Arabidopsis thaliana: one gene and its partners. The protein of the gene in region 3 interacts with the protein of the main gene of each other region in a pairwise test. Each region holds a gene or a part of one and is shown on either strand. Other genes may lie near its edges.

Region 1 (8,902 bases), 2.9 Mb from region 3:
AAACATTACATAGAGAAAACGTATAAATGCAAAATCATAGCTTTTCATCTTGCTGTATCTTGTCTTTGCTGTGTCGTTTGAATCAGGGGTTATACTCATACTGGCAAGAACCATGGCCTGTCACAATCATAGCTGGATCAGAAACAGATGGTTCACTATCTACTAAGATTCAAGGGAGAAAGAGAGAGAGGAGAAAGCTTACTGGGGTCAAGCTCAGTGATCATGGCAGCTCCTTTGAAGTAACAAGAACCACCTTTGTTTTTATAAGTTTGGTAGTAACTGTTGAAAGCAAAGGAGGCATGATCTCTGATTGTGTTAGGCAAGAAGCAAGGCTGGTTTTCCTGCTGCATTTTGCTGCAGTCTGCTCCACCTTTTCCGCAAGCCCAGTCTAAGGCTGCTTGCAACTCATCGTCTGGCGTTTGTTCATCCGCTATGCACCATTGTTCCGACTCTGCCTCTGCTTAAACATACACTCACATACATCTGCATAAGGCCAAAAAAGGGACATAGTATGAACATTGCAGTGGTGTTTTTACCTGAACGTCGAGGAAGAGTCATTGCTATGATAAGCAAAGGAAGAAGTATCCTTATCAAGAAAGTTGACATGTTTCTAGAGAAGGCAATGAGTGGTGCAGAGAGATCCAGATCTGATCTATCTAGTTAGGAAGTTTGGGAGCTAAGGAAATGAGTGCAACTTGATACCCTTTATACTAGTTAGAAAGAATCATTAGTCCAAAAGTTCAAGATCTATGACTAGGGAATCTTGGTTTGCTTCAGATGCAATCATGTGCCAGATCTGCATTGGTTTTGACTTTTGAGGAAGATTTTGTTCTGCTTCTGGAAGCTTTTCAGAACACACTGTCATTTATACGCTTCCTATCATGTAATCAAGAGCCATTACTATTACTACACAATATACAAGCTGTTTCATAGTTAAGAGGACAGAGTTTGGGTTTATATATATATAAAATGAATATAATGGAGCTATACCCTAGGAATCTACTATACACACAGGCAGAGATCAATGAAGACAAAGTGTCTATACAAAGAGAAAGATCGGTTTTCGCAGTTTTTCTCACTCAACCAGACGAGGTCTTAAGCTGAAAGAGACCTGTGAAGAAAAATTGACAATGAACTGGTTCTTGCCTTGATCTCAAGTTGAATTGCAGGTCATGGATGTTCAAGATATACTACCCGATGTCAAAAAGCTCTCGGGTTGATATATAATCCTACAAGGGAAATGGCTTTTTCTTTTAACAAGGTTCAAAGAATCTTGCTACCGCTGTGTAGAGCACTTCCTCTTCAAACGGTTTTGATACATAACCATCCATTCCACATTTCATGCATTCTTCATGAGTAGCCTGAATAACATCTGCTGTCATTGCTAATATCGGGACGTGCCAACTACTAAATTTACAGAACATTTCAGCTGAAACTTCTCCAGAAGCTATTTTCTTATTGATTTCCCTCTCCAGCTCACGGACTCTCCTTGTCGCTTCAAATCTGCGCAAAAAATTATAAAGTTACCAAGGACGACATCCAAGAAATGAACAAGCTGAAGAGATAAGATTGAAAAATAGTTATCTACCCATCCATTTCAGGCATCTGGAGATCCATGAAGCAAGCATCGAAGTTATGAGGCGGCTTAAGCATTGCCAATGCAGCTTTGCCACTCTCAACGCATGTAACAATAGCTCCATATTTCTTAAGTGCACCTTCTGCAACTCGTCTGTTCACAAGATTATCATCCACAACCAGAATCTGTTTTTCTCTTAGCAAGTGTCCAAGATTTCTTCGCTGTCTGTTCGGTTGCCTCTTCTTGCCATTGACAAGGGTTTCTTGCAAGCAACATATTAAGACACTCATCCGAAGAGGCTTTATCACCACCTCATCGATGAGACCAGTAGACTTCATCTCACTGCGCTCAGTAAGAGTTGCAGAAGTTGCCAAAAGAAAAATCTTTGGGACTCTTGTAAAGGTTACTTTGCTTCGGGTAAACAACTCGTCAAGTACTGAAAATTCTTCCTTGTTCCAGGCGTCTTTGTCTATTAGAATCATAGCCAAATTTTCTAATTTGCTGCAAAGATTCCAGAACAATAAAACGCTTTTAGTGAACTCACTATAATCTCTAAAGACAGACAGACACTAATGTACGTAAAGTACCTGATACAACAAGTGCATGCCATTCTCAGACTTGAAACAATGTCTGCAGATATTCCCAGTCTCCGAAGTTCGTACCTGGTGACCTCTGCTCTAATGTTTCTGTTATCAATAACTAATGCTCTCAATCCTGTAAACTCCTGAATAGCTAGATCGAATCGTTCCAGCTTAGTAATCGACGTATTTGTTTCTGCTTTCCCGAAAACTCCAGTAAATGAAAAAGTACTGCCTATCCCGGGCTCACTCACAAACCCCATCTCTCCTTGCATGAGTTCAACCAAACGTTTGCTTATACTCAAACCTATGCCAGTTCCACCATAAGTCCGCGATGTGGAACTGTCGGCTTGCATAAAAGGTGTGAAGATTCGGCCTTGTGCATCCACAGGTATGCCAACTCCAGTGTCCTCCACTGTAACTAGCAATTTGATTTGATCAGAATTCTGACTCTCAGTACTGTAACATGTCTTGAAATTCTTCCAGCTTCCCCATGCATTTACCGCAGGAAACCCGCTAACTGTCTCACCGGACTCGCTGCATCCTAAAGCTAGTCGCTGTTTTAGCACTGCGTCTTCAATAGTAAGAGGCTCCTTTACCTCATCTGCAAGGTGCACTGAGATAAATATGTGTCCCCTTTCCTGTGTGAACTGTTATTAAGTAAATAACAAATGAGTACTGTAATAGTAGAGATTCGTGAAGCCTGTTGTTCTGTAAGAAGTAAGGAGTAAATTACTTTGATTGAGTTTCCAACCAGGTTTGTAATGATCTGCCGGAACCGACTCGGATCACCGACTACAACATCAGGAACTTGACTAGAAACATAAACGGCCAACTGTAACAAGAAGTCAACATTTCATTACATATGGAATTTGTTTGCCATATGAAAACATTAAGAAAGTAGAAGGTCATGCAGTTTATAATTATACCTCAATTCCTTTTTCATTTGCCTTGCCAGAGAGGAGAGATGAAACATTATCAAGAATAAAACGCATATCAAAAGGCACATTTTCAAGCTCGAGCCTTCCGGATTCAATCTTTGCCTGATCAAGAACCTCATTTATTAGTGATGTAAGATCCTTCCCACTGCCATGAGCAGTTTGCGCATAGTCCATCTGCTTCGCATCAAGATCGGTGTCCATCAGCATTTTCAGCATTCCTGTAACAAAATGCTTAAACGTTTCAGCTGATTTTAAGAGAACATGCAATATTGACCAAGGATAAGTAGAAAAAGTACCTAAAACTCCATTCATCGGAGTCCGTATCTCATGAGAAACAGTTGCTAGGAACTGCAAAATAAGAAGCATTTCAGTGAAAAAACAAGTAAAGCTTTTGAGACTATATGATTCACAAAGATCACCTGTGACTTTGCAATGTCAGCGGCCTCAGCACGAGCTTTGAGTTCCCTCATCTTCTGACAATCCTCTTCAACTGTCGCAATTCGGTTGATGGCTTCATATAAAATATAACCAACAAGAAAAGTAATAACCAGAACTAAGATCGACGGTGTTATCGCTGTCCAGGGAATGGGAAGTTTATGCTTAAACCTGTAAATGAAAAATGCCACTTTCATACTTCAGAAAACAGAGAAGTGAAACATATCTTATAAAAATGTACCATAACAGTTAGAGCTAACTAACCTGCAATGCATCTCATGGTTCCTTGATGGATCACCAAAATCAAGGCTACTTATATGCTGCTCACTTATATCCCCAATTTCTGAGCCATACATTTTTATTAGACCTGAAGTGTTAGTTGTGTCGTAAACATCCACAGCAATTGTCTGTTTGCTGGCAAGTTGGTGAAGAAGTTTCTCCACCAGCGATGGCATATCATATGATGCACCAAGGTACCTGTTTTTAAGTGTATCTTATTAATATTTTCTGGTCCAGAGATCATTCTTTGTTACATAGGTTCAATTTCTTCAGTCCTAGAATCATTTTAAGTAGAAGTAGTACCCAATAGTTGCTTCAACACGCTGTTCTTCTGTAGCATCAGGCGGTAGGCTCGTGTCATAGACAGCAAAGGTCAACACAACACCAAGATGATTTGACTTAAGAAGCTTAAATGGAGATGTTAACACTCCTTTTCCTGATGCCCTTGCCCGTAAGATGTTTTCACGGTCTTCCTGCAAAATAGTTAGACTTTTGAATTCTCTTTTAAGGACATTGGTTTGGCAAAATAGTTCAAGAAACTTTTAGACGTTACTGACTTCTCCAGACATCATGTCGACCGATACAATATGGGAAACAGTTTCTTGAGCAAATATAACTGGCGCGTATTCGTCTTGAATCGGTGCGGGATCAAAGTTTTCAGGAACACAATCTTGTACAACTGTCTGGTCCTCAGTTTCCATTTTCTTTATTGCCCATCCATGCTCCTTTTCAAATTTCTCTCTTTCTGAGTGTGGGACTTTCAAAGCATACGCTACACCACTAGTAAGTGGCCTCTCAAAGTTTGTTCTCTCAGTATATTCTTCAAATGTTCTCTGTAAATGTAACAGAAGTTGATGATTTAAACATAAACTTGAGACACAAAATGTATTTAGCAGTAAGAAAAAAACATCACCTGATCAATGGCAGATGGGATTTTACCATGATGAAATGTAGATACAAGAATAGACAAGGCATGAACATGGTTCAAGCTAACATTGAACTGATCTTGTAAAACACGTGCTCGTTCGTCACACATGTTTGCCAAAGTCTCCCTCCTTTTCATTATGATCTCCTCATTAGTGTCCCAAAACCACCAAACAGAGAAGGAAACTCCTCCTAAAATACCAAGGAGAAGGATATTCTTCCTCCATCTTCCAGCCCCTCTAGAAGAAGTCTGAGCACGTTGTTGCTGCTTCTTTGGAGCTAAAGCCTCTTGCAGATGTACTTTCTCTTTCCTCTCACCTCGTGCTTTAGAATGAGATACATAAATCTTATGGCACACTAACACACCAAGGATTAGACACCACCATGCATTTCTTAAATACGATGACAAACCCTGCTCCAGCCCTTCTTCATGGTTTTCTTCCTCAAGGTTTTCAGGTTGCTGTAAAATCTACTCATAACCAAACACATTCACAATAAACTTTTGTGAGAACTAGCTAAACACCAAATCTTAAAGCATTTCCTTCACATGTTGTCGAATCGAATATTATCTTACCGGTTCAAGATTACCACACATACAAGATGTTGATGAGATAGAATGTCCTAAGCCAAGATTCCAGGGAAGCCCTCTAGTCTCTTGTTTATCAGAACGCACACTCAGGGAACATGTAATACCATAGTTTGTCCACATTCCAGGGCTTGATTCCTTATGACATTCAAAGGATGTTACCTACAACAAATACAGAGAAACTGTTACACTTTAAGGCAAATCTGGTGCGTATTCAAAAGCTCAATTTCAACAAATACAAGTCAATTCATGCAATTACCTGATCTGAATCAGAGAACAAAGAGACCAAATCATGAATCTCACTTCTTGTGACATTTTGATGTCTATACAACACTTTCTCTTCTCCATTACAAGAATCTGTCTCCTCCTTCTGACTTCTACCTAACCGTAAGAACATAACCAAAACAATTACCAAAGAGCCACACAAAATCAGGAAGAAGAGAGGCTTCTTTAGCCATTTCTTGTCACTGCTCGACGACTTCTTAGCTTTCTTTGAAGTAAGATTCAAGAGCTCACAAGTTATAGACATTTCGACTCCTAATCTCAGATTCAGCTGAAGAAATTCAGATCTCTTCAAACCCAAAACTAAAACTCTATCAACAACAATCTCATAGTTGAGTTCTTGAAACCATCCACAAGAAGAACAAGAAGCTGTGACATAGTCCCAAACGCAAAGCTTTTTTCTTTTTTCTTACTTAAGACGCAAGAGGACAAGATGAACCAAACCCAGTGGTTGTTGCAATGGGAGAAAGAAGACATTGTTGAGAGTAAAGAAACGGAAAAGAGAAAAAGGACAAAGCTTTATCTTCTTTCATGGTTTCAGGGTAAAGAAAAATGACAAAGCTTTCTCTGTTTTAGATGTTTGTGAGCTTAAACAAAAGAAACCCAGCTGGTGTCTCTCATTACCCAACTGGACTCAATGATCAGAGTTTGGATAAAAGAAGCATTTGTTAGAGAAATTATGAGCTAAAGAAAAAGAATGTCACTTCTCTCTTCTTTTACTCTACTTTTGATTATTATTATTGTTTTTGTCTTTTGGTGAATAAACATTTTTAAAAACTGAGGTTTTTGGGTCCATGATTATCTCATCATCTAGGTGGGGAAGGTATTATAACATTTTTAGTTAAATTAGAAAAAGTGATTGGCTAATGAAAATATAAATAAACTCAACTATACCAAGAATCAATACATGCTTCTCCTAAAACCTACTCATTGTTATTTGTTTTTTGTTTGGTCTTTTTGGTGTTTTTAAATTGCTTCATTAGCATAGTTTAACATCTACTCTTAAGTCTTATCTTATCTTGTATAAAATATAACGATGAGTGGGTTTTACGAGAAGTGGGTATTGATTTGATTCTATATGTACATCTTATTTCTTTTTATCAGTTTATGTATCTTTGTCTCCCAGTTACATTTATGATTCTGATTATTTTTATGTAAGAAGTTCTGTTTAAAATTGTATTTGACTTTGAAAATATATTAGGACTAGATCATAACCCGTGCTGTATAGCACGGGCATTAATATTTTGTATAAATTACATTGTATACTTTGTTATGTTTGTTATGTTTATCAAAATTATTTGTTATATTTGTCAAAATTTAGTAAAATATATTCAAATATAATTAAATTTATTAAAACTTAATAAATTTAAAAGTTTTTTTTGTTTAGAGACGCACTATCTACATACAAAATACTCGTTTCTATTTTTTTGAGTATTTTTAGGGCCTGAAACTTTTTATCCAAACTGACCCAAACCCAACTGGACCCGACCCGAACCGAATATTTAGAATTATTCTATTAGGTAGTAAATCATATACCCATTAATCCCAAACCCGAACGGGTTCTACCCGAACTCGAATGGGTTACTCATATGCCCAGCCCTATTCTCTGATTTAATTATCTAAAAAATCCCAATAAAACATATGTTTTGTTGAATACCTTTTATTCAAAAAAATTTACATCCTCTTCTGCCAAAATCATTTCATAAGACATCCCAAAACCCTTGGAATAATGATTCTATGAATGAAGAATCCTAATTTGAATATACCAAGAGGTTTTGAAAGGTTTTAAGTTTTTGATAGGTGTGTATGTGAGAAGGTACATCCATCGTGATGGTAATCTGCTTATTTATAATTTTAACTTGCATTATACAGCAGGTAGGCTTATATTTTAGTTAAACTAAAAACTTTTATTGTAAAGTTGATTACAAATATATGATATTATTTTATTTGATTTTAAATGTATAGTAAACTGCTAGTTGTATATGTTTTGTTGATATTATTTATATTGTTTAATGTTTAAAATTATATACTTGTATTTTGATTGTTAATTTTAGAGTTTCACCTGTACTATACCATCTTGTATTAATATTGATTTAAACCCGTCAATTCTAGGATTTTCCAACTTGTATTAAAAATTGAATCACATCATACACATTAAAAAATCTAATATGTTATTAATTATTTTAGTATATAAAATTATAAATTTTAAAATAATATGTATGAAATTGAATATAAATATTCAAATTATAACACAGTACTCAGTAAAATTTTTTTTTAAATCTACTTTTGACCCGTTATAGTATTTTTTCATGTATTGAACAGTTTATATTTGTTTTTTTTAAATTTAAATTGTGGCATATGCGAAAAAAACTCTAATTATTTTTTTATAACGATGATATTATTTTTTTGCAAAAATAAAATCATATAAAGATGAGAGGTGAACTATAATAATTAATAAAAAATTAATATGATAATTTAGATATCAAATCTAATTTGTTGATTTTAATTGGTTACTTTTTTGGAAATTAATAATGTATTTCGTTTTTGAGTTAAATTTAATTAATTAAATTGACTTTTTAATTTTTAAAGAAATGAATTAATTTACTCTTTAAAATTTTATTTCTAATGGCATACATATGTAATTACTTACAAAAAATAAGGTTATATTTAAAATGTACTTCCCAAATAATATAGTAGGATAGAAAACCAGGATTTATATATATATATATATATATATATGTGCTTAAATTAAATAAATTGAAGAAAATAAAGTTGATTTTTTCGTTAAAGTGTTTGTAATGGAATCGCTATTGTAGTATTGTGTCTACACCCAAATTGAAACCAGACATAATACATGAAATTGACCAAAATTGTATATTTTGAGGTGATCTTACCGTGTTCTCAAGATGACCAACGAAGCAAAGACAAAGATGACCCTATAACTTTTATTAAATTGTGTTTGCATTAGTCATGCCTATTTAGTTAGAGTTGGATGAAATATTTGATTTGATTTTTTTTTGTTTGACTCCAATATCTAAACCCTTATACAGTATCGTGCCAAAGTCAATAGAGGCTTAAGACATATTCTAAAATTGTAGTCTCACACATTCTATTTTTGAGATTTTTTTTGAATGTTAAGAAAAATAATATATATATATATATATATATATATATATATATATATATATATATTGCTCATTTAAGAAACAATTTCAGTACAAACAAGATTTAGTAGTTAATGTAAAGGAAAAACAAACAAAATTTTCCATAAATGTTATTGATGAGTTTTCTTTCCAAAACA
Region 2 (7,040 bases), on a different chromosome or scaffold from region 3:
GATAGTTATATCATATGCATGGTTTATCAAATTTCTGAAATATTAGATTTTCACGTATATTTTTCAATAAATGGTGAAGACCATTGATTGAGAGCAGAGAATGAACACAGAATTAGAAGCTTCTGAGAAATGTTGGTGTTGTAGTAGGAAAGCGAAGTGACACGGCGTCTTCTTCTTCTCTCTTGTCTCATTCTTCTTTTTATTCCTCACCCATTACTTTTGTTTTTTTTTATTTTATGAATTTGAACAATGTGAATTGCAGGCTTAAATATTTACAAATCGAGCTATAATAATAGTTTTATTAATTGGAAACATTGAAAATTTGAAGAATGCAACGGCGGCTACAGCCGTCTCATGCAGAATAAAATGATGGTTTTTTTTTACGTGAGGGTGAGGCGTGCCATAAATTTAGGGTCGCTTTCTTTAACTATTTTCCTCATTCTAATTATTACGCCTTCATATATTTATTACTATCAATTTTATTTTTATTTTTGTTTTGTATACAGTCATTTCACTTTCTAATAAATTCATTTGGTAACTAAAATAAATAAAAATTCATCATTCCACATATTTAAATCAAGCCAATATTTTTAGCAATTAAATGATTTTCATGTCGAGAGTACAATTCAAACCAAGTTAAGTATTATACATTTGATTTATCATTATATAAGATCGTCGTATAAATATGAAGGTTTGTTTTTATTCATAAAAAGCATCAGCATCTAAGTGGTATGTAATGATTCTGAGAAGAATCGGTAAAAGGATACACAATTGACAACACTAAACGAATCTTTCAAGATTCCACAAACGCAGTGAAGAGGAATCTTGACCAAGTCGAATAACGTAACGCATGCACCAAGTCCCCTATCTTCTACATATTTAATCGAGTGTTCTGTTGAATCCAATACTCGTGTCGTCTGTGTTGTTATAGTCACATGCTATTTCATACCTTCCCACCTAAGCTATTGTAAAGTTTCTAATATTCATGACTACGTTTTAAATTTTCCCAAATCCCCCGTAGAAATCCCTTTCTCAAACATTTTGTGGAAGATGTACTTTACTGTTTTAGTTTCTGATTTTTCACATTTAGGCAAACGAAACATAGAAATGTTAAGTGAACTTAACTTTTGAAATGGCTAAAACACTTCTTATTTTGGTGAGATTTAGACCTATACACACCAATTCACTTTTAGCATGCACACAAAATTTGATATTTTCCTTAACGTTTTTAATTCACTAAAAGTAGCCAAAGCTTTTACAAATTCCTAAAACCTACCAAAAGAGGAAACACGAATGTTCATTAAAATTAAGAAAAAGGTAAAACTTGCTGAGCTCCTACTTAAGTCTCCTTCTTCTTCTCTTCTTCAAGAGCTTCAATTATCCTCAAAGATTCTCTAAAGCTGCTTCTGATTTAATTTGTGGGTTTTCAACAAAAAGGGCATTGTTCTTTTCACAATTCATCATCCCACAAAAGAATAAAACAAAGTCCCTGTGTTTTGGTAATATCTCTTCATAGACCCAAGAGAATGTAGTAGAGAAGAGTTATGGGCAACGCGATCAACATCCCAAATATCACCCTGCAACAAAAATCAGAACTCACGTTAACAAAAATATATTTATATATACACCTAATCATAATTAATGTAGGCAAAACCAACCTAACTTTTTTTCTACAACAAAATTTATTGTTATAACAACAAAACTATTTAATAGATTAATAAACTTACGCAGTGCTAAGAATGTCAGGATGCACATTATACTCTTTGGCAAACACAAACGGTACTATTCCTTGCGGCAAAGCTGCCTGTTTGTTGTCAATAAAAATAATGGTTAGAAATCGTATAAACGACAGTAGACACAACAGAAGTGTTTCATATTTGATCATGCAAATAAAAACTACCTGGATAATGGCAACATGGAGGAGGACGCCACGGAGGCCAACGGCATAAGAAGCAACGAGCATGACGGCAGGTCCAACGACAAATCTCATAGCCGCCGCAAAAGCTGCTCTTCTGTTTCCACAAGCTATTATTCTTGGGTTTAACGCCATGAACAACCCTTTAACACATCCAAAAAAAGCCACAAATTTAAACAAATAATTTATTATTGTTTTGCTTTTTGGTTAATTTAAGTTTATACACTGTTTTTAGCTGCAAAAGAGTGACATAAAAATAATCATCACAGCCACTGATCCACCACCACAACATTAACATCATCATTATCGTTATCCTAAACTATTCATTCCATAAAGTCATGATTAAGCACAAATTTTATAATCAGTTGATGGAAGTCTACTGAAACATAAACAAGGTAAAAAAGAAAGTTTTTTCATCGATAAGGGGGTCAATATTAGGTATAAAAAAATTGTTTGTTGCTTTAAGAGAAAATAAAAAATGGTTCCTCCTATTCAAGGGAGAGACATGTTATGATGATAAGCAGAGAACTGTGGAGCATGCTTTCTGCTGTGAAGCCAGTTTTGTTTGCTTTTTTGATACAAACATGTTTCAAAAAAACTTCAAAGAAAAAGAAAACAGAGAGAATCATGCTTCCACATGATTTGTTTTTTTTCTTAAAATCATTTAAAATTTAAAAAACACCATAAAGAATGAAGGTCAGAAATAAAGAGAACAATTGACTGTTTTATGGTATTTAATTATGTAATAAATGAAAAGAGGTAAAAATAAAAGAAAAGAGAAAAAGGAACTGACCAAGACTGAACATAGCCATGCCTAGACCTGCATCTGAGAGTATGGAGATAGACTTTGCTATAAGAGCTGGCATTTCAATGTTCCACCTGCACAGACCACATCAATTTAATTCCAATAAAGAGATCTTTCTCAAATCTTTTGTTACTTCAATCTATCAGAAAAAACTTTCAAACATATACGCATTCAAGGCTGACCCTTTATGCATCAAGAAAGTGGTTAAAATAGTAGACCAAAACCAAAGTAAAGTGAAAATAAGACAAGTTTGAAACAGTACTTGAAGGAAATGAGGGACCAGGTGATGCCGAATAAACTGGAGTAAGAGTTGGGATTACGAATAAGTTTCCTCCAAACCATAATGAGAATGAGTCTTGTCATCACACTTGTTGGTGGCATCACCTTAGCCTGCGTCGTTTTGTTGCTTATGTTGTTCCCACCGTCCGTTGCCAATACTTTGCTATCATCGTCTTTGTTACCGAAACTAAACTCTTCCCTCTCCACGTACTGGTTGTCTAAAGTAAGGCAACAACACATGTAAACAATTAAAGAACCCCTTAACCAAATCATAAATATCGAAGGACATAGAGAAATTTTGGGGGTGTTTTTGTAAAGAAAATAAATTAGGGTGCGAAAACAAAACAACAAAGTTATAGAGGGACTATACCGTTACTATTCCCCTGAGGTACAGAGATCTTAACGTCCTTTTGATGATCGTTCGTAGCGGTGGAGTAATCGGCGTGGTGGTTTCCTCCTCCACCGCCGAACACATCTGAGACCGGCGAAGCACTTGAGCTCCACACAAACATGTGAAGATCTCTTCCGTTTCCGTCTTGTCTTTTCCCACCAACCACCGGAGCGTTTCCTTTCGCCGCCGTGCCTCCACCACCGCCAGTGTTGGGCGAAAACATCCCTGGGTTCGGCGCCGGATAATGCGCTCCTCCACCGCCACCACTTCCTCCAGATTGATAATGAAACCTCCCAGCTCCAGCAGCAGTTCCAGCAGCCGTCGGTTTAGCAGGACCACCGTCTTCTTCGTAGTTGGAAGGTCTCGGAGTAGGACCTTTAGAACCAAACACAGCTTCTCCAGGACCAAAGTTAGAGTTCCGACCACCACCAGAAGCCATCATCGAGTAAAAATCAGTATGATTAAAACTAGAGCCACGTGGCGTTGGGTTTCTTGAACTCTGAAGCGAATATATCTCAGCGTTGGTTAGATTCGAAGGTCTAGGTGTCGCAGATAAGCCTTGAGACCTTCTCGAGTAAATATCAGACCTTGAAGCATTAGAACGACGAACAGTAACATGAAGCTTCCCATCTTCTTTAATCTCAGCTTCAGTTTCCAAAGGTTGTCTTCCATCTAAAGACATAATGTCGGAATCAACATGAATCGAAACAATAGATCCTGCTGTGTCTGGAAACTGCTCGGAGATCAAAAGCTTAGCTCCACGGTACTCAAAGAGAAAGAGCATGAGTGTGTACCAAATGATACACTGAAGAACAACGATTTGAACCATGAGGTCGCCGGAGAAATTACCATACATGCCTTTGAGAAGAGGTATCCCCATGACTAGAGTGTTGGGGAGTGTCGAGAGAGAGAAGAGAGTTATGGTCCAATCTAAAGAACCGTTGCGGCTGAGTTTGCACCAGAGGAAGAGGAGAGAGAGGACAATGACTTTCTGGAGAGAATCTGCGGCGAGGAAACGGAGGTTCATGGCGTAAGGGTTGTTAGCGGCGATGAAGTGGAAAGAGAGGAGAGGAACGGCGAAGAGAGCGACGAAACGGTTTATGCCGGAGCATTGGTCTGGTGTGAAGATTTTCCACCATTTGACAGAGCCGTAAGCGAGGATCATAGCTACGTATAACGGAACCATAGCCGTCATAACGTGGTAGAAGTCCGCCGCCGTAATCATCTTTTGTTCGCCGGAGAAGAGAGAGGGAAGAGAGAAGAGCTTTTGTCTTTAGTTTGAGAGAGAAGTGGTGAAGAGGGAAAAAAGAGTAAAGTGAGTGTTGAGAAGAGACCACATTTTTATATTCTTTTTATTTTATTTTTTTGTCCGTTGAGAAAATACCATATTTTTTAATTAAACATATATATATTTTGTTAATGAAGCTAAAACTGTTTGCTGATTTTATTATTTTCGTTTTCGATTATTTGGTTAGTTTCTAGATATTATATTCAAAAGTAGTTTACGTGTAGGAGTAAAAAAACATTAAATGTAAAATTGGAATAGCTCAACATATTTATTTGTTTTGTTAAACATTCCAACATAATAGTGTGTGTGATGTAATTTTGATTGAAATACGACAAAAAGAAGTTTTTTTGAATGTAATAAAAACGAAATAAAAATGGTGGTTGATGGGTGCGTGGTGGAGCTTTGGGGATAGTGAAAGAGGCGGCCTTGTGCGCTTTGCGGAGTCCAAAGCAGAGCCTCTGTTTTTGCCTCTCTCTTTTTTTTTTGGCCTTTTCAAATTATGAATTAATCTATTCGGTTGATCAATTTATCCCCTATACTAATTATTAAATTTATATTTTTACCATGTTTAAAAATTGTTAAATTTATTTTTGCTATAAATTATTGTGATTAGTATGATGGGATTTTTGGTATTGACTTTCAATTGATAAATCACAACAGAAGATAAATACACATTGAAGTGATGATATAAGGCTCGATTTGATGTTTATATGAACTTAGAAAATTTTGGTTTTAAAGATAGAAGTCTTCTCCGAAGAGAGGTTGAAAGTCTTTGGAAAAATGGTTGCAATTGAACAAACTAGTTCCTAACCAAAGACTTTGTGGGTGGAGATAAAAGAAAAGATGTGATATCACTAACATAAGGTCGAAATCACTTTTTCATGTGAGATGGGTGTGTGTGAGTTATCATTGCATAGGTTATCATTTACAGTTGTAGTTGCGCATACGAATTATTTATGAACTATTCAATCCTTTGATCGCTCATCTTGGAACTTATTTTCTTTTACTGTTTACTGTATAACATTACTAACAAAGTTTTATAAAATATATTTCGTTGAGAAAATTAGTAACAAAGTTTTATTGAACATAAATACGTAGAAGTTTTTTGAAAGAAAAATGTTGAAAAGAGGGTGGTTCTGGTTTGCTTACACAAATCAGTCTGATGTGTTCTTTAATACTACTAATAAAGTCCGTACAAAAAGCAATGGGTTGATGATATAATGAGGAGTGTTGATATTTGAGGAAACACAATATTCCATCAACAGTCTGCTCTTCATTTTTCTCATCATCCCATACAAACACAGTTCTTCTTTTTTTTTTCTTTCCAGCTTTTTATTTTTCCAATGTTTTCAACTTTTTTTTAAGCATAATAATAATATATAGTACTAATATAATTCGACTTTCCTTGCCATTTCTTGCGCTTAAAGAGACTATACACACAAAAAAAGTAGGTTATGCAATCCGAATAAAGTAAATATGTTGAGAAGTTACGAAAAAATAAAAGAGTTGATGACTTAACATCATTTTTCTATTAAAAATTATAAATCAAGTAGTTTCTATTTTTTTTTACTGACAAATAATTTTAAAATTGGTTCTTTGAAAGAATTGAATTTTTAACACGGCAAAAAAAAAAAAAAAATTGCAGGATTTTTTCACATTCCATATAGTTAATGATATTTTGGATCTTTCAAATTATTTGTCACTAATCCATTAATCTTTCAATCTTTTGTTGTGCAAATCCTTGTTACAACTGCGACTTTGTGTAATATTGAACTCAAATTAACGTTTTTTCTAATACTCTATGTTTGCACGGCTTGACTTATGGTTATGGGTGATGGATGACCTTTTAGCAAATACTTGAAACGAGAAAATTAAAATTGATCTTTTAGCAAACACTTGAAACGGGAAAAATGGAAAAGAGAGTAAGATAGTTTGGTTTAATAAAGCAAATTTTGACTAATTAACACTTTATGATCTATATTGACCTGCTTTAATATACATAAAGTGAGTCTTATGGCTGATACTAAAAGTCGACAAACTAATCTCAATAAATACGTTAATCAATGGGAATGATAAGTGGATACATGTTTTGCATCAAATTATGCTTTCTTTTGGGTTTTCTTCAAAATTTATATAGACCGAAATATCACTAGTTAACAAAATCGCTCGAACTCATAATTCTTTTTTAATAAGAAGTATAAACTAACTATGTGGTTTTGAAATGAAACTTTGGCGACAACGCCAATGGAATAATTTACAAATTTGACTAATCTTTTTATTGGCTAAAAGATAAATAAAAAGATTACTATAATGAATTTTTTTAAAGTTTATCAACAGAAGATTAATGGTTGCCGAGTTTAAG
Region 3 (8,168 bases):
AAATGGATTGCGAAAACAGTGAGACGTTTCTTATAGAGAACGTAGATCCACGTGGCGGCGAGAGAGAAATAGATAACAGAGAATAAGAAATAGACCTTAGGAAGAACAGTTCTTCCAGCAGAGAGATAATCACGACCTCCCTTTTTACCTTCAAGGTTATACATAGCGGATCTAACATCCATACTGATTTTGACCTGTTGGAGACAATTAGCGAAGACGAGAGAGTACTGATCCGCATCGTTCTCGGTGAATACGGTGGAGAATCTGCTCTTATCTCCTCCCTTGAGATTGTTGAAGGTGAACACATGCTTAACGAGATCTGATTGTAGAGCGCACGTGATCTCTTCTTCTTCAAGCTGTTGGATCACATGAACCCAAGCGTCTCTAGTGCAGAGAAAGAAGCCCACTTTGGAGAGATCGAGATCGGGATTGCTGTTGGAAAGCCAGATCTTGGAAGCGTCAAGCTCAAGACGACCGCTGTGAGTGAAACCGAATTCGTCTAAAGGGATGATTGGACGATCATCGGATCGGATCTCTGATTTACGAATCTCAGCCGAAGCTATGGAGATGGAGATCAAGAGAAGGATAAGGATCGATGAGAAGCGTGAAGAGAGATCCATGGGAACTAGGGTTTCGTTCTTCGACTTCACAGAGAGATTAATCTGATCTCAGATGTGAGATCCAAAGCAAAATCAATCCAACTTGTTCTTCTTCCGATGAAAACGGTTGTGTGTGACCAACCAAATTAAATTAGTCTTTTTTTTCTTTCTAAGAAACAAAATAAATACCATTATTTTATTAGCAACAAGAGAACCCATTTTCCTTCATCATTAAGGGAATAAACCATCTTTGACGGATTAGTTGATTTCTAGAAACAAAAATTTCACCAATTCACCGATTCCAACCGAATGGCCGGCGTTTCCAGTGTATTTGAAGGAGTTGTAGAGTGATAGGGAAGAATTCATAAATTTCTCTTTATCTTTAATTTCTCGTAGTGCAAATGTAAAAGCGGATAAGTTGGCACGAAAGATTCGTACCGTACCGCATCATGTCACGTATGTAAACAATATCTCTCGGGATTGGATCTTTTGAGTTCAAATTTATATCGGTTGACAAAAAAAAAAAAAAAAAAAAAAGGAAGAAATTAAAGTATTGATGAATTTCGTTTTGAATTGGTCGGAAATTGGATGTATAAGTTGAGAACAAATTATCCATCAATTTAAATCATAAAATGTTTTTCCGAATGACTTTTTTTTGGAGATGTATTATTTCTAAATGTTTTTACGGTTTCTTTAGATCTCGTTCAGATTGTATCAACAAGCGCGAAACCTTCATTAAACATAAATGGTATACAAAGAAAGCTTAAATACTAAACCGGAGAGATATTATCTATTTATAATAGATTGGTTTGACTGTTTGAGTGTCTATGGTCTAACTCTTGTCCTCTCTACACAACCCGACACTAAACCAACATCTTCCACTCACATATGACGAAAAACATCAGAAAGTAGTAGAAGAGTACTCTTAGAGATTTTGTTCAAGAATCGCAATTCGAAAAAGTTACACTGCAAATAAACCGTGTGACCCGTGCAAGTATATGTGCTTTTGGAAGCTAAATTCATGCAGCTGCTACGGAGACATACAGTCTACATACCTAAATATATTACATAGCATGTCTCACTCCAACCTCATTTGTATTTCATATTAGTCTCAACATATTCCCATAAAGCATATGTTAAACCTATTTTACATCACGTTTTCACTAACTTCAAAATTCTAATTTGAGGGATAGAAGTTGGTCACATGATACATATTTGTTAACGTATGAACATCATAAAATCTAACAATTGATACAAGAGTATGTAGGATACAAAGTTACACGTTGTGTTTGTCTCAAACAACATTAGTAACATTTTTTAAAAAAATTGTGTAGACAAACACAACATTAGTAACATTTAAAAAAAAAAATGTGAACCGGTTTATTTTTTCACCACTTAGCTGGAAAATAAATAACGTGTATTTGCGTAAACAATACATAAGGTTTAAAAATGTGTTAGTGCTATGTTTTATACATTTCTAAAAAGCGTTTGGATCTCACCAACCAAACATAGTATTTGCCAAAATGCAAACGCTATCTAAAATCGATGTGACATTACTAGTCAGATTTAGTGGGTTTGTTCTAGAAAAGATCTTTATTTTATACATTCAAATTTTCAAAACTACAGTTATTTTGTTGTTTAGTGTCATCCTTTTGAATAAACAATCATAATCCTTAACGTCTCTTATCTTTTTTTTGAATCCTCAATCTATGGACCGTTTGAACTGCAATCGTAATGAGGATGTTCGTGGTCCACATGAAATCACTTTACTCTACTAATAAGTGATAGTTTTTTTATTCGAATTTTAACTCGTTACATTCTTTTACAAGAAAATCGACCTTGTTATATTTATTTATATGGTTGGTCATGCATGCAATAGTATTATCATTACTTTACCTGGTTAGAGAGATGTGGAATATTAAGGGATTGGTTGAATATATACGACACACCTCGTCGTTTTTATTTTGTTTTTGGTCAACTCCTCGTCGTCTTTGAATTCTCGAAATAAACACCATGCCGTTTCAAATTTTCTTTGGAAAAGAAAAGACCCTGTATTGGCTTTTATATAAACCGCTTTCTTCCCCTTTACTTTTTCCCAACACTAGCAAGCAAAAATTCTTCATCGACTCAAATTCAAAAACTCATCTCTCTCTATCTCTATTTCTCTGGTTCCATAGCTCACCGTCGCATCGCAGATCTACTCCTTCCGCAATAAATTTTACCGGCGGAGGTATCAGATCTCGCCGATCTGTTGTAGCAGCTACTGTATTTTGGGCTTCTCATTTGATATTGGGGAAACGAGGAGTAGAGGACGATGGAAAATCTGATCTCTCTGGTTAACAAGATACAGAGAGCTTGCACGGCTTTAGGAGACCATGGAGACTCCAGCGCTTTACCTACTCTTTGGGATTCCTTGCCTGCGATCGCCGTCGTTGGTGGTCAGGTTTGCATCTCGATCTCCTTCCCCTTCCATTATATGCTTGACGATCTATCTCACGATTCGTTCGTTTTTTTTGCGATTCGGAATTGATATTGAGCTGAGGTATTCGGATAAATTTGCCCTAAACTTCGTTGTTTTTGCTTATCAACATCCGGATCGTGAGGAATTATAGTTTAATAGCTTCTACTATGAACTAGCTTTGCAAGCAATTGGTATTGAGGAATGTTGACTTGGCTTTGACTTGGATATTTTTTCACTAGTTGGTCTTGAACCATTTAATTTAAGCTACGATTGTTGTGGAGAGGGGTTTCTGTACTTTGATAATTCTATGTGGCATTAAGTTTATGTTGTATCCTTATTGTGTTGACAGAGCTCAGGGAAGTCTTCAGTCCTGGAGAGCATCGTGGGAAAGGACTTTTTACCCCGTGGATCTGGTAAATACAGTGTTAACACTTCTTACTTAGTTTTAATTATGAAATTGCTTATTTCCTTGAGTAATGACAATATGCATTTGCGGTAACTATTTGTAGGCATTGTTACTCGAAGGCCCCTTGTCTTACAGTTGCAAAAGATCGATGATGGAACCCGGGAGTATGCAGAGTTTCTTCACCTCCCGAGGAAAAAGTTTACTGATTTTGGTGGGTTTCGGCTATCTCAATTTGCAGTTCAAGTTTCACCTTCTCCTGTATTCCATTGATATTTGATTAATTTAATCACCTCTATAGCTGCTGTGAGGAAGGAGATTCAAGATGAGACTGACAGAGAGACTGGACGCAGCAAGGCTATTTCTAGTGTTCCCATTCACCTTAGCATATACTCTCCCAATGGTAAGGACAACCCAAAATCTCTTTCCAGTTGTATGTGCTTTTTGTTCATTCTCTAATTTTTTATCCTCTTTACTATGTGTGCAGTTGTCAACTTGACACTGATAGATCTTCCAGGGCTTACAAAAGTTGCTGTTGGTAAGTTACAGTAGAGCAAGAAGTTTTGGTCTATTTTTTCTAGCGATGAAGCATGAGGCAATAGACTTTATTCTCTACCATACATAATTTGGCATGACACGACAAATTTCTTTTGGTTGATGCAGATGGACAATCTGATAGTATAGTGAAGGACATTGAAAACATGGTTCGGTCCTACATTGAAAAGGTAAATGAAAATGCTTACTCCCAGACCCTTTAATGTTTTATAGATAGCTATCGCCAGTTTAAATTAGATTCGGTAATATATAAGTATTCTCCCTATATTTGTTATGTTTTCGTAGCGCCAAATGAGTTGACACTATTCTGTTTTTTTTTTTATTTAATTAAATTTCCTTATAGCCCAACTGCATCATTTTGGCAATCTCACCTGCAAACCAAGATCTTGCTACCTCAGATGCAATTAAAATTTCCCGTGAGGTTGATCCATCGGGTGAGCATTTTACAAACAATTCATTTTTCCACCTAAGAGACCCAACACATTATTCTGTCATCCTATGTCTCTTATAATCTTGGTGATCTTCACAGGGGACAGAACATTTGGTGTCTTGACAAAGATTGATCTTATGGACAAGGGGACGGATGCAGTGGAAGTAAGTTGAATTCCCAGTTTATAGAACATCTGTACTAGAATTTCGAATTACTGTGAATAAAATGTGTTGTAATTAGTCTATGATATGATGTTGGAGCTATAAAATGCTAATTTGTGTAGTAACATCATAATACTTATGTTCCCTCATTAATGTTTATTGCGTGCACCGCTACTTACCAAATGATATTTTTTGCTCAGATTCTGGAAGGGAGATCTTTTAAACTTAAATATCCGTGGGTTGGTGTCGTCAACCGTTCCCAAGCAGATATTAACAAGAATGTCGACATGATTGCGGCTCGGAAAAGAGAGAGGGAGTACTTTTCCAATACTACTGAGTATAGGCACCTTGCTAATAAAATGGGTTCCGAGCATTTGGCAAAGATGCTCTCCAAGGTACGTGCTTTCACGAGGCTAGGGGTAGTTTTCTTCACCAGGTTCTTTATAATAAGTAAGTTGGCGTTGTGAAATTTGTTAGGAGTGGTAAATAAGAGTTTCAGGGCCAGTGTTTTCACGATTGCTGCTAATTTTCTTAGCAGCCGACAGAAAATACTAAGAAACTACGAAGTTATGGCAATGCTTAGCACGTTTCTCTGTATAAAACCATCAGGACAGAGCCTAATTGCAACAATTTTATTTGTTGCGCAGCATCTAGAACGTGTGATCAAGTCGAGAATTCCTGGCATTCAGTCACTTATTAACAAAACAGTATTAGAGCTGGAAACTGAACTAAGTCGCCTTGGAAAGCCTATTGCAGCTGATGCAGGGGTAAATTGTGTATTCTTTTATTTTTGATTGAATTGCGCTATCAAGATTTACTTAATGTTCTGATGCAGGGGAAGTTGTACTCAATAATGGAGATATGTCGGCTTTTTGATCAAATATTCAAAGAGCATCTTGATGGAGTGTACGTTTTGACTCTTTTTACTTCAAATGTTTAAGATTACACCATGAGTTGTTATAGCGTCTGAGTTGATATTTCTACTCTTGACCTTCTGAAACTACAAAAGGAAAATTGTAATTTAAGACTATGGTTGATTACACAGGCGTGCTGGTGGTGAAAAAGTGTACAACGTGTTTGATAACCAGCTTCCTGCGGCTCTGAAGAGACTCCAATTTGACAAGCAGCTAGCGATGGACAACATCCGGAAGCTGGTCACTGAGGCTGATGGTTACCAGCCTCACTTGATTGCTCCTGAGCAAGGTTACCGTCGTCTCATTGAGTCTTCTATTGTCTCCATCAGAGGCCCTGCTGAAGCATCTGTTGACACCGTATGAACTCTTTACTTTCATCTCTAAAAAGATGTATCAAAAACCTAACACAAAACAATAAGCTTCTCTCTCCGTTTTTTTTTTTTTCTATGGTTAAATATTAGGTTCATGCTATCTTAAAGGATCTGGTTCACAAGTCTGTGAATGAAACTGTGGTACGTTCTTTTTTCTTTTAGTAATATATATATATATATATATATCTCCAACAACTAGTACTTTTGTACAATGTTATAGACGGTTTGAACATGTGCAGGAACTAAAACAATACCCAGCTCTGAGAGTGGAGGTGACAAATGCGGCGATAGAGTCGCTGGATAAAATGCGGGAAGGAAGTAAGAAAGCAACACTGCAGCTGGTTGACATGGAGTGCAGTTACCTCACTGTTGATTTCTTCAGGAAACTTCCCCAGGATGTTGAGAAGGGTGGTAACCCCACACACTCCATTTTCGACCGCTACAACGATTCCTATCTCAGACGAATCGGTAAGGTTAACCCATATAAATAAATAATTATCTGGTACCGTATATCTCACAAATTTTAGACATTTGGCAACAGGATCCAATGTTTTGTCTTACGTGAACATGGTCTGTGCTGGCCTGCGGAATTCAATCCCCAAGTCCATCGTATACTGCCAAGTCCGAGAAGCGAAGCGCAGTCTCCTCGACCATTTCTTTGCGGAGCTCGGTACCATGGATGTAAGTGCTCTCTGCCTTTTTTCTTAACCTAAAGAAGTGTCATTCGGGTAAACACTGAGTCAACTAATATGGTGATATCCAACAGATGAAGAGGCTCTCGTCGCTATTGAACGAAGATCCAGCAATCATGGAGAGACGCAGTGCCATCTCAAAGCGGCTAGAATTGTATCGAGCAGCCCAATCCGAGATCGATGCTGTTGCTTGGTCCAAGTGATACCGGCATGTCATGTCCACTGTTTTGCTCGGTTCTGGTCGGTGTGGCTCAGACTCGGAGCAGAGATTTAGGGTCTGTAATTTGTATAAGATGATCTTCCCGATACCATGCAGTATCGTTTTATATAACATCCACATTGTTTGTCCTACCTCTATGTTTTTTGTCCATCACCCGATATGTTACGTATCGTTTTATAACATCCACATTGTTTGTCCTGCCTCTAATGTTTTTTGTCCATCACCCGATATGTTACGTATCTTTTATAACATCCACATAGATTAGATTTTCTCTATTCCCTTTATTTAATTACTATAAAATGTATTTTTCGCATATGATAATTTTTCTGTAACAATAGTATAATATTAAACATTCTACCCAAAAAAAGAGTATAATATTTAAATATGATTACCAATAAGAAAAAAATTCTAATAGTTTAAAATAAAAATTTGTAATGTACTCTTTTTTATTTTGTTTTGCGTTTCTGAATTTGTGGCCATTATCTTCTCACACTCTCTTCTCTTAGCTCACAGAGGAAAGAAAAATGGCGAATTCCATTTCATCAATATCTCTGCCTCGATGTTTCATCTTCAACAATGGTAGTCACAAATCAAGGCCATGGCCAAGCTCAAGCAGTTTCTTTCTCAACAAATCATCAAAGCATCATCCTCATCCACTACTCTCTCTTTCTTCTTCGCCGTCTTCCGTCGTAGAAACTGATAATGACGACGACAACGACCTCACTTTCAGGTACCCTTTTGCTTCTCTTCATCGATTCCATTGGAAAGCTTAAACCTTTCTCAGCTAATCCAATTTCGTTGACATTAAGGATTTTAGAGTTAGTGATAGATTAGGGATTGCGTAAATGATGAAATCATAGAGACTCTTTTCTGCTGTTAACTTGTTAGTGTTATATGAATCTTCAATTTTGTTACACTAGTGAATCTCTTAAAATGATTCTCTACAATAACTAACCTCATAAATTTCTTTGTGGTCTCATGTTGGCTTGAGCGATTGGTTATATTGTCATTTGTGAATTGTGATGGATCCATCTCTCTATAGTCAATAGATCATAACATGAGGAATGAAACAGTGGTTGCAGAGCGTGTGGGAAAGAAGAGAAAGAGAGTGGGTGTAATGGTGACGGACGGATTCAAGGTGGCATTGCAACTGTCCCCGGTTTCGGTTGGTGGCCAATTAAGGCTTACAGGCCTTGTCCCGCGTTTGTTGAGGCCGGAGGTAGATACCGCCGCATAGGGCAGAGCATGGACGAGGTTGCATTTGGTCGTGGTGACTCTAAATCCTCCACTTCTGTAGACACCAGTGATTCACTACTACGGTATGTTAATGCCTAGTATTATTTATATACACTTACAATCAAC
Region 4 (5,570 bases), on a different chromosome or scaffold from region 3:
CAAAGCTAGAGAAGATTGTATGTGTAACCAACATAGAAGGCTTCGATGAAACTCGTGGCTCAGCAAACCATCTTGATGGCACACCTCTAAGTATAATCGTATCAGCCTCTCTCCTTCCTTCCCTTGAATGTCCTGCAAATCACAATCACATCAATTACCACGAAAAAATCGTAAAATCAAAATCCAAAATTGAAGAACCAAGATTACCAAAAGCGTAAAACTCCTCCCAATCCTTCTTCAACTTCTCGAAATCATCTGAAATCGGAAGTACCACACTAAGCTTATACTTAACTCCTTCCAAATTAAGCTCAATACCATTCATCTTCTCCACCAAACTCTTCCTCCAATCCAAAAACTTCTTCTCCAATTCCTTCACATCTCTCTCTCCATCATTCTCCTTCTTCTTCTTCTTCCCATCGAGAAACCCTAAATCGCGTATAAACAACGATCCATGAGCAACTGGCTCCTCACGCTTCCGTTTCTTCAAGTCCTTGTGACGACGAACTACGATGTCTTCCTCCGGAACTGTGACGGAGGTTACGACAGAGTTTTTGAGGTAATCTATTAAGGATCGCTTGAGTTGCCATTCGTCGATGGATTTGGATACGGATGGGACTACTGGGTGGATTGTGAGATTGAGCTTGACGCGTGAGACGAGAGCGAGACCGTTCTCTTCGATATCTAGAGTTTCTATCGGAGATAGCTCTTCTAACGATCGCATTTTTCGCCGTCGATGCAAAATTCAAAATCGCGATTGGCTCTCTCTCTCAGAGTGTCGTCGGCTATTGAGTACAGAGAACAGGAGGATACTGAAAACAGTGGTAAACCAGAATTCCAAATCGGTTATTTCCGGTTCTCTTGGTTTCCAATATTTTGGGAATAAATTGCATAAACGGTCCAAAATAGAGATAAATTCCAATGTAAATTTTTTGAACATTGACTGAAACCATTAATAAATGTTGAACGTTTCATCCAATGCCTAAATATATATGGTAAGGATTCTTATCTTAGTTATGAGTTTTGGCATACTAGGACTGAAGCATTGCATCCTACTGTGAGTTTTGGTGGTTTGTGCTCTTCTGTTGACCTTAGCAATGCGTCCATATAAATTGAGTATGGTTGGATTACTGTTCATACCTCTAGCGAAACATTGCAATTCGCTAGGTCTCTATTGTGGGGTTAGATGGCATGAACCATTAGTTGCACAAATGAACTCTAATGCATATCATAGAGGCTTGTTTTTGGATATAGTTTACGAAATATTGAGATGATATCTTTCATACAAAAACAAAAAATGCATATGATGATGACACTCTTACATACACTTTTGGTACTATCTATCCGCGTATGATTTTAAGATAATTTTTTTGAGCTTTTACTTTAATTAGAATTTAGTGATATACTTGTATGCACAAATTTATACAAGCAATTTATGAATACGGTATACACAAATTTATATACAAACAGTTAGACCAATACCAAAATTTGGTGATATACTTGCAAACCTAGCATGCTAACGAATTTGATAACTTACATGCCTTATCCCATCTAGCGAAACAAATTAGAGAGATTAAACTGTTGGAGATAAATTTAGAACTCGGTTGATCACAACTCAACATTTCGCACTCAAACATTACAAAAATACTAGTCTCCTACATCAGGATTACAAAGTGGTCTTCCGCATTTGTTCATTTGGAAAAATATACAACCAAACAAGCGCATTCGATGATACAAATTCTTGTACCACATTGAAATTCACTTACAATATTTTAATTCGAACAAATTTAGCTGAGAATGTCTTTATTGATAGCAAAAAGTTGTGTTAATTTATATTTTACGCATCCACATTTGTGTGTTTTATGCTTTCACATTTGTAAAGAATTTCTTTGAACAGTTGTGAAAATTTTCAACATTTATGAAAGAAAAGAAAAAACCACTTAATAATTTTCAACATTTATGAAATTTGAAAAATGTGTTAATTACTACGTGTTTATGTAAAGTTATATGACCCGTCTTGCCCATTCTCTCCCCGACGAAGACACACACAGACAAACAAATCCTAGCTTAGCACCGTCGCGACCGAATTCGAAATTCCGGTAACCCAATCGCCGGGAAAATCCACCGCTCGTGGCTACCGATATTGATTCTAATCGGATCTAGCGGCTCCCTTTCTTCGTCCAGATCTCGTACTTCATTCGACCTCGATTCGCTGTGCAAGTTACGATGGAGGCGATCGATGAGTTGTCTCAGCTTTCGGATTCGATGAGACAAGCGGCGTCTCTGCTCGCTGACGAAGATCCCGATGAGACCTCTTCTTCTAGACGGCCAGCTACTTCTCTCAACGTCGTTGCCCTAGGGAATGTGGTGGGTTTTCTCTCGCTTTTTCTGTTTCTGAGATGTGACTGTATTTGGCGTTTGTTGTAAGTTTTATACTGTGATCGAGTGTAGATTTTTGTTGCCATATCGTGGATCTTGTGGATCTCGATGAGGTGTTTTCGAAATGGTCCCGTAACCTAGGAGTTTGGTAGGATGTTTTGTATTCTTCATCTCTTCGTTCGTAGCTTGTTTTGTTGCGTTTCTCTCTTTATTAGGGATTATTTGATTCTATGAGATTCAAACCTGGGAGGTATTACTATAGTAGAGAAGGTTGATGCGTTTGTTATTTGAAACTATGAGAAATCTATTTTAGAAAGTGTATATCAGAACGAAAAGTGTATGTGATTTACTCTGTTTCCTAAAACACTTATCTGTTGGAAGACAGAAAAAATATTGCTATGTGTTTGTGATTGAAACTTCTTAGGCTTAGAAAAGAAAAATTTCTTATGTGAAGACTGAAGTTATTTCACTTTTCTTGGTGGATCAGGGAGCTGGAAAGTCTGCAGTTCTAAATAGCCTAATTGGGCATCCAGTTCTGGTAAGTTGTGTATTGAATTTGAGTGCGCGGCAATTTGTGTATGTCACTATTGGCTGATACATTTTCTTAAAGTAACCACTTTGTGTTGTCCTGTCTACTATGATTACCATGGATAGCCGACGGGTGAGAATGGTGCGACACGGGCTCCTATTATCATTGATTTGAGTAGAGAAGAATCACTGAGCAGCAAGGCAATAATCTTGCAAATTGACAATAAAAATCAACAAGTTTCTGCAAGTAAGAGCTCCCTATGTGCACATATGCAATTTAGCAATGATTTGTGAAGCTATTTCTGCATGTAAGATGCAATGCATTAGATTAATATTTGACTAATATTTCCGTTTTTTTCGAATGTGTGTATTACAGGTGCACTAAGGCATTCACTACAAGATAGGCTTAGCAAAGGAGCTTCAGGAAGGGGTCGTGATGAAATATACCTAAAACTTCGTACCAGCACAGGTAATTCCTTTCTACTTGCACAATCATAAATGGGAATCCCTATTTAATGCAACATCCATATTACCCAAGCCTAAGTCGGATAATGTCCCCTACTTAAGTGAACAGTTCAGCTGTAATGAGTTTTTACCTCTAAATCTAACGCACATTAGCGCTTCAACTTCTTTTGGGTAGAATCTGAAGCTAAGTTGTGAAAATTGGACTATATATCTAAATGAAGATCTAACTTAAATGTTCTCTTTGGAACATGAATTATCACATATCGTTTGTTTTGTACTGGTTTCTGTAATCATCATAACATATTTTTCCCTTTTAATTGCAGCTCCACCACTGAAATTGATTGATTTGCCTGGACTGGACCAGCGAATTGTGGACGATTCTATGGTAAGCTTAGGAACTGCTTGATGCCTTTGTCATCCCCCTAATCCACCTGTCAACCATGGAGAATTTCCACATTTTTTATTCGGCATTCTGGCTGTAGGGCTTCATAGATTCATTATCATTGTCATCTTATAATTTGTTTCTCTCCTCTCTTTGCAAGATTGGTGAACATGCACAGCACAACGATGCTATATTGCTGGTTGTTGTGCCTGCTAGCCAGGCATCTGAAATTTCGTCATCTCGAGCCCTGAAGATCGCAAAGGAGTATGATCCAGAGAGTGAGTATATAGGCACTTTCGTTATACAGACCCTTCATTATACTTCTAAACAACTGGGGTTACTACATTTGGATAGAAACATTGGAACTAAATTTTGTGTATACTATAACCAAAAAAAAAAACATCACTCCTTATTTATAGGTACTAGGACAGTAGGAATTATCAGCAAAATTGATCAGGCAGCAGAGAACCCAAAGTCCCTTGCAGCAGTTCAGGCGCTTCTTTCAAATCAAGGACCTCCAAAAACAACTGATATTCCATGGGTTGCACTTATTGGCCAATCTGTCTCAATTGCATCAGCGCAGTCTGGAGGCAGTGAGAACTCTTTAGAAACTGCTTGGCGTGCTGAGAGTGAAAGCCTTAAATCCATTTTGACTGGTGCTCCACAAAGCAAACTTGGCAGAATTGCCCTGGTCGACACTCTTGCTAGCCAGATCCGTAGCAGAATGAAGCTCAGGCTTCCGAACATCTTAACTGGGTATTTCCTCTCTCCATATGTTTTTGCTTTTATATGTCAAATGAAAAATCGATTGTTTGTTTGCCTATTTTTCTGTACTGGTACTTTAGGGAAGATTTACAATTTTCTCCATCAAAGCCAATTTGTTTTGTTTCTTTGAAGTTGAAGTCGACCTTTAGGCTTAGTTAGCTAGACTTTCCAGCTCCTATCATCATTAGCGCACTTCTCATGAGATATTTTAGAAACCTTTGTCCTTGTGTCTTTCTAATCAACATATACGGACCAGGTCGAAGCTAAGTTTCTGAAAAGGAAAACAAGATTCATATCTTTAACTGATTGAATAGATGATAATCTACCTAAAAGTCAAGAAATTAAACCTCTATGTTGAATTTGCAATGGAGAGGAACGGTGTTTAGTGAATTGGAATAAACCAAAAGGCAAAGATAAAGCAAAAGGGAAAGTTGCATAAGAGGAAATAGTTATCTGAAATTGGATATGTGCCAGATTTATCTGCCATCGTTACTGAGTTCTGAAAATAAGAACTCTTGCTTGCAAGATCTCTGGTCAATGCTCATCATCATCTGTTAAGCTGATATATTACTTTTGTCTCCCAAAATGTGATGTCTATCTTTTGTTTTAGTTTCTGGATGATTATTTAGGGACATGATTTTGGTTCTTATGATAGTCCTGAACTTACAAATTCCTTTGTTACATGCAGACTCCAGGGTAAGTCTCAAATAGTGCAGGACGAATTAGCGAGGCTTGGTGAGCAATTGGTTAGCAGTGCTGAAGGCACAAGGGCAATAGCTTTGGAGCTTTGTCGTGAGTTTGAAGACAAATTTCTTCTCCATTTAGCTGGTGGTGAAGTGAGTAATTTCCTACGTTAGCTGAACCATACTTTAGCCTTTTCATTTTTCTAGTTGTTATGGAAAATGTGTGGTACTGTTTAAATATAGACAATTAAGAAATTTAGGAAGATTGTCTGATATTATCTAGGATTTCACGATACTAATATTGGATCTATATGTGATATGTTTCACGGAAAAGGTTTTTGAATTGCATGTCTGGTGATTGTGCCCGTTCA

Evidence for each region.
Region 1: the proteins of DL1 (region 3) and HK2 interact in binary tests that used the Arabidopsis thaliana proteins (3 or more experiments, as listed by UniProt).
Region 2: the proteins of DL1 (region 3) and PIN1 interact in a protein complementation assay, tested with the Arabidopsis thaliana proteins (one study listed by BioGRID).
Region 4: the proteins of DL1 (region 3) and DL3 interact in binary tests that used the Arabidopsis thaliana proteins (3 or more experiments, as listed by UniProt).

What each region holds. Positions count from the first base shown.
Region 1 is NC_003076.8:13,910,490-13,919,391, forward strand, and holds HK2 (histidine kinase 2), read right to left. Parts: upstream 6,317-8,902; 5' UTR 5,849-6,316; coding exon 5,579-5,848; intron 5,482-5,578; coding exon 5,308-5,481; intron 5,203-5,307; coding exon 4,723-5,202; intron 4,643-4,722; coding exon 4,367-4,642; intron 4,283-4,366; coding exon 4,113-4,282; intron 4,008-4,112; coding exon 3,795-4,007; intron 3,702-3,794; coding exon 3,515-3,701; intron 3,444-3,514; coding exon 3,392-3,443; intron 3,314-3,391; coding exon 3,084-3,313; intron 2,990-3,083; coding exon 2,891-2,989; intron 2,805-2,890; coding exon 2,164-2,804; intron 2,078-2,163; coding exon 1,589-2,077; intron 1,504-1,588; coding exon 1,254-1,503; 3' UTR 794-1,253; downstream 1-793. Other genes in the region: AT5G35740 (Carbohydrate-binding X8 domain superfamily protein), read right to left, coding at 83-117, 203-457, 537-606. UniProt on the Arabidopsis thaliana protein: Cytokinins (CK) receptor related to bacterial two-component regulators. Functions as a histidine kinase and transmits the stress signal to a downstream MAPK cascade.
Region 2 is NC_003070.9:27,657,347-27,664,386, reverse strand, and holds PIN1 (Auxin efflux carrier family protein), read right to left. Parts: upstream 4,715-7,040; 5' UTR 4,616-4,714; coding exon 3,370-4,615; intron 3,218-3,369; coding exon 2,983-3,217; intron 2,795-2,982; coding exon 2,709-2,794; intron 2,059-2,708; coding exon 1,901-2,058; intron 1,805-1,900; coding exon 1,728-1,804; intron 1,578-1,727; coding exon 1,511-1,577; 3' UTR 1,134-1,510; downstream 1-1,133. UniProt on the Arabidopsis thaliana protein: Acts as a component of the auxin efflux carrier; this activity is enhanced when activated by D6PK-mediated phosphorylation.
Region 3 is NC_003076.8:16,819,282-16,827,449, reverse strand, and holds DL1 (dynamin-like protein), read left to right. Parts: upstream 1-2,433; 5' UTR 2,434-2,913; coding exon 2,914-3,042; intron 3,043-3,409; coding exon 3,410-3,473; intron 3,474-3,569; coding exon 3,570-3,677; intron 3,678-3,764; coding exon 3,765-3,866; intron 3,867-3,950; coding exon 3,951-4,001; intron 4,002-4,126; coding exon 4,127-4,188; intron 4,189-4,361; coding exon 4,362-4,452; intron 4,453-4,547; coding exon 4,548-4,612; intron 4,613-4,809; coding exon 4,810-5,004; intron 5,005-5,256; coding exon 5,257-5,376; intron 5,377-5,444; coding exon 5,445-5,515; intron 5,516-5,654; coding exon 5,655-5,880; coding exon of another isoform or gene 5,881-5,886; exon of another isoform or gene 5,887-5,984; coding exon 5,985-6,035; intron 6,036-6,133; coding exon 6,134-6,362; intron 6,363-6,435; coding exon 6,436-6,575; intron 6,576-6,660; coding exon 6,661-6,789; 3' UTR 6,790-7,166; downstream 7,167-8,168. Other genes in the region: AT5G42090 (Lung seven transmembrane receptor family protein), read right to left, coding at 1-620; AT5G42070 (uncharacterized protein), read left to right, coding at 7,331-7,536, 7,880-8,125. UniProt on the Arabidopsis thaliana protein: Microtubule-associated force-producing protein that is targeted to at the leading edges of the forming cell plate during cytokinesis.
Region 4 is NC_003070.9:21,891,190-21,896,759, forward strand, and holds the start of DL3 (dynamin-like 3), read left to right. Parts: upstream 1-1,952; 5' UTR 1,953-2,223; coding exon 2,224-2,364; intron 2,365-2,863; coding exon 2,864-2,914; intron 2,915-3,030; coding exon 3,031-3,151; intron 3,152-3,280; coding exon 3,281-3,373; intron 3,374-3,692; coding exon 3,693-3,754; intron 3,755-3,911; coding exon 3,912-4,029; intron 4,030-4,170; coding exon 4,171-4,507; intron 4,508-5,204; coding exon 5,205-5,352; intron 5,353-5,570. Other genes in the region: ZCW7, read right to left, coding at 1-132, 208-721. UniProt on the Arabidopsis thaliana protein: Putative microtubule-associated force-producing protein, able to bind and hydrolyze GTP. Collaboratively with DRP1A, participates in clathrin-coated vesicle formation during endocytosis.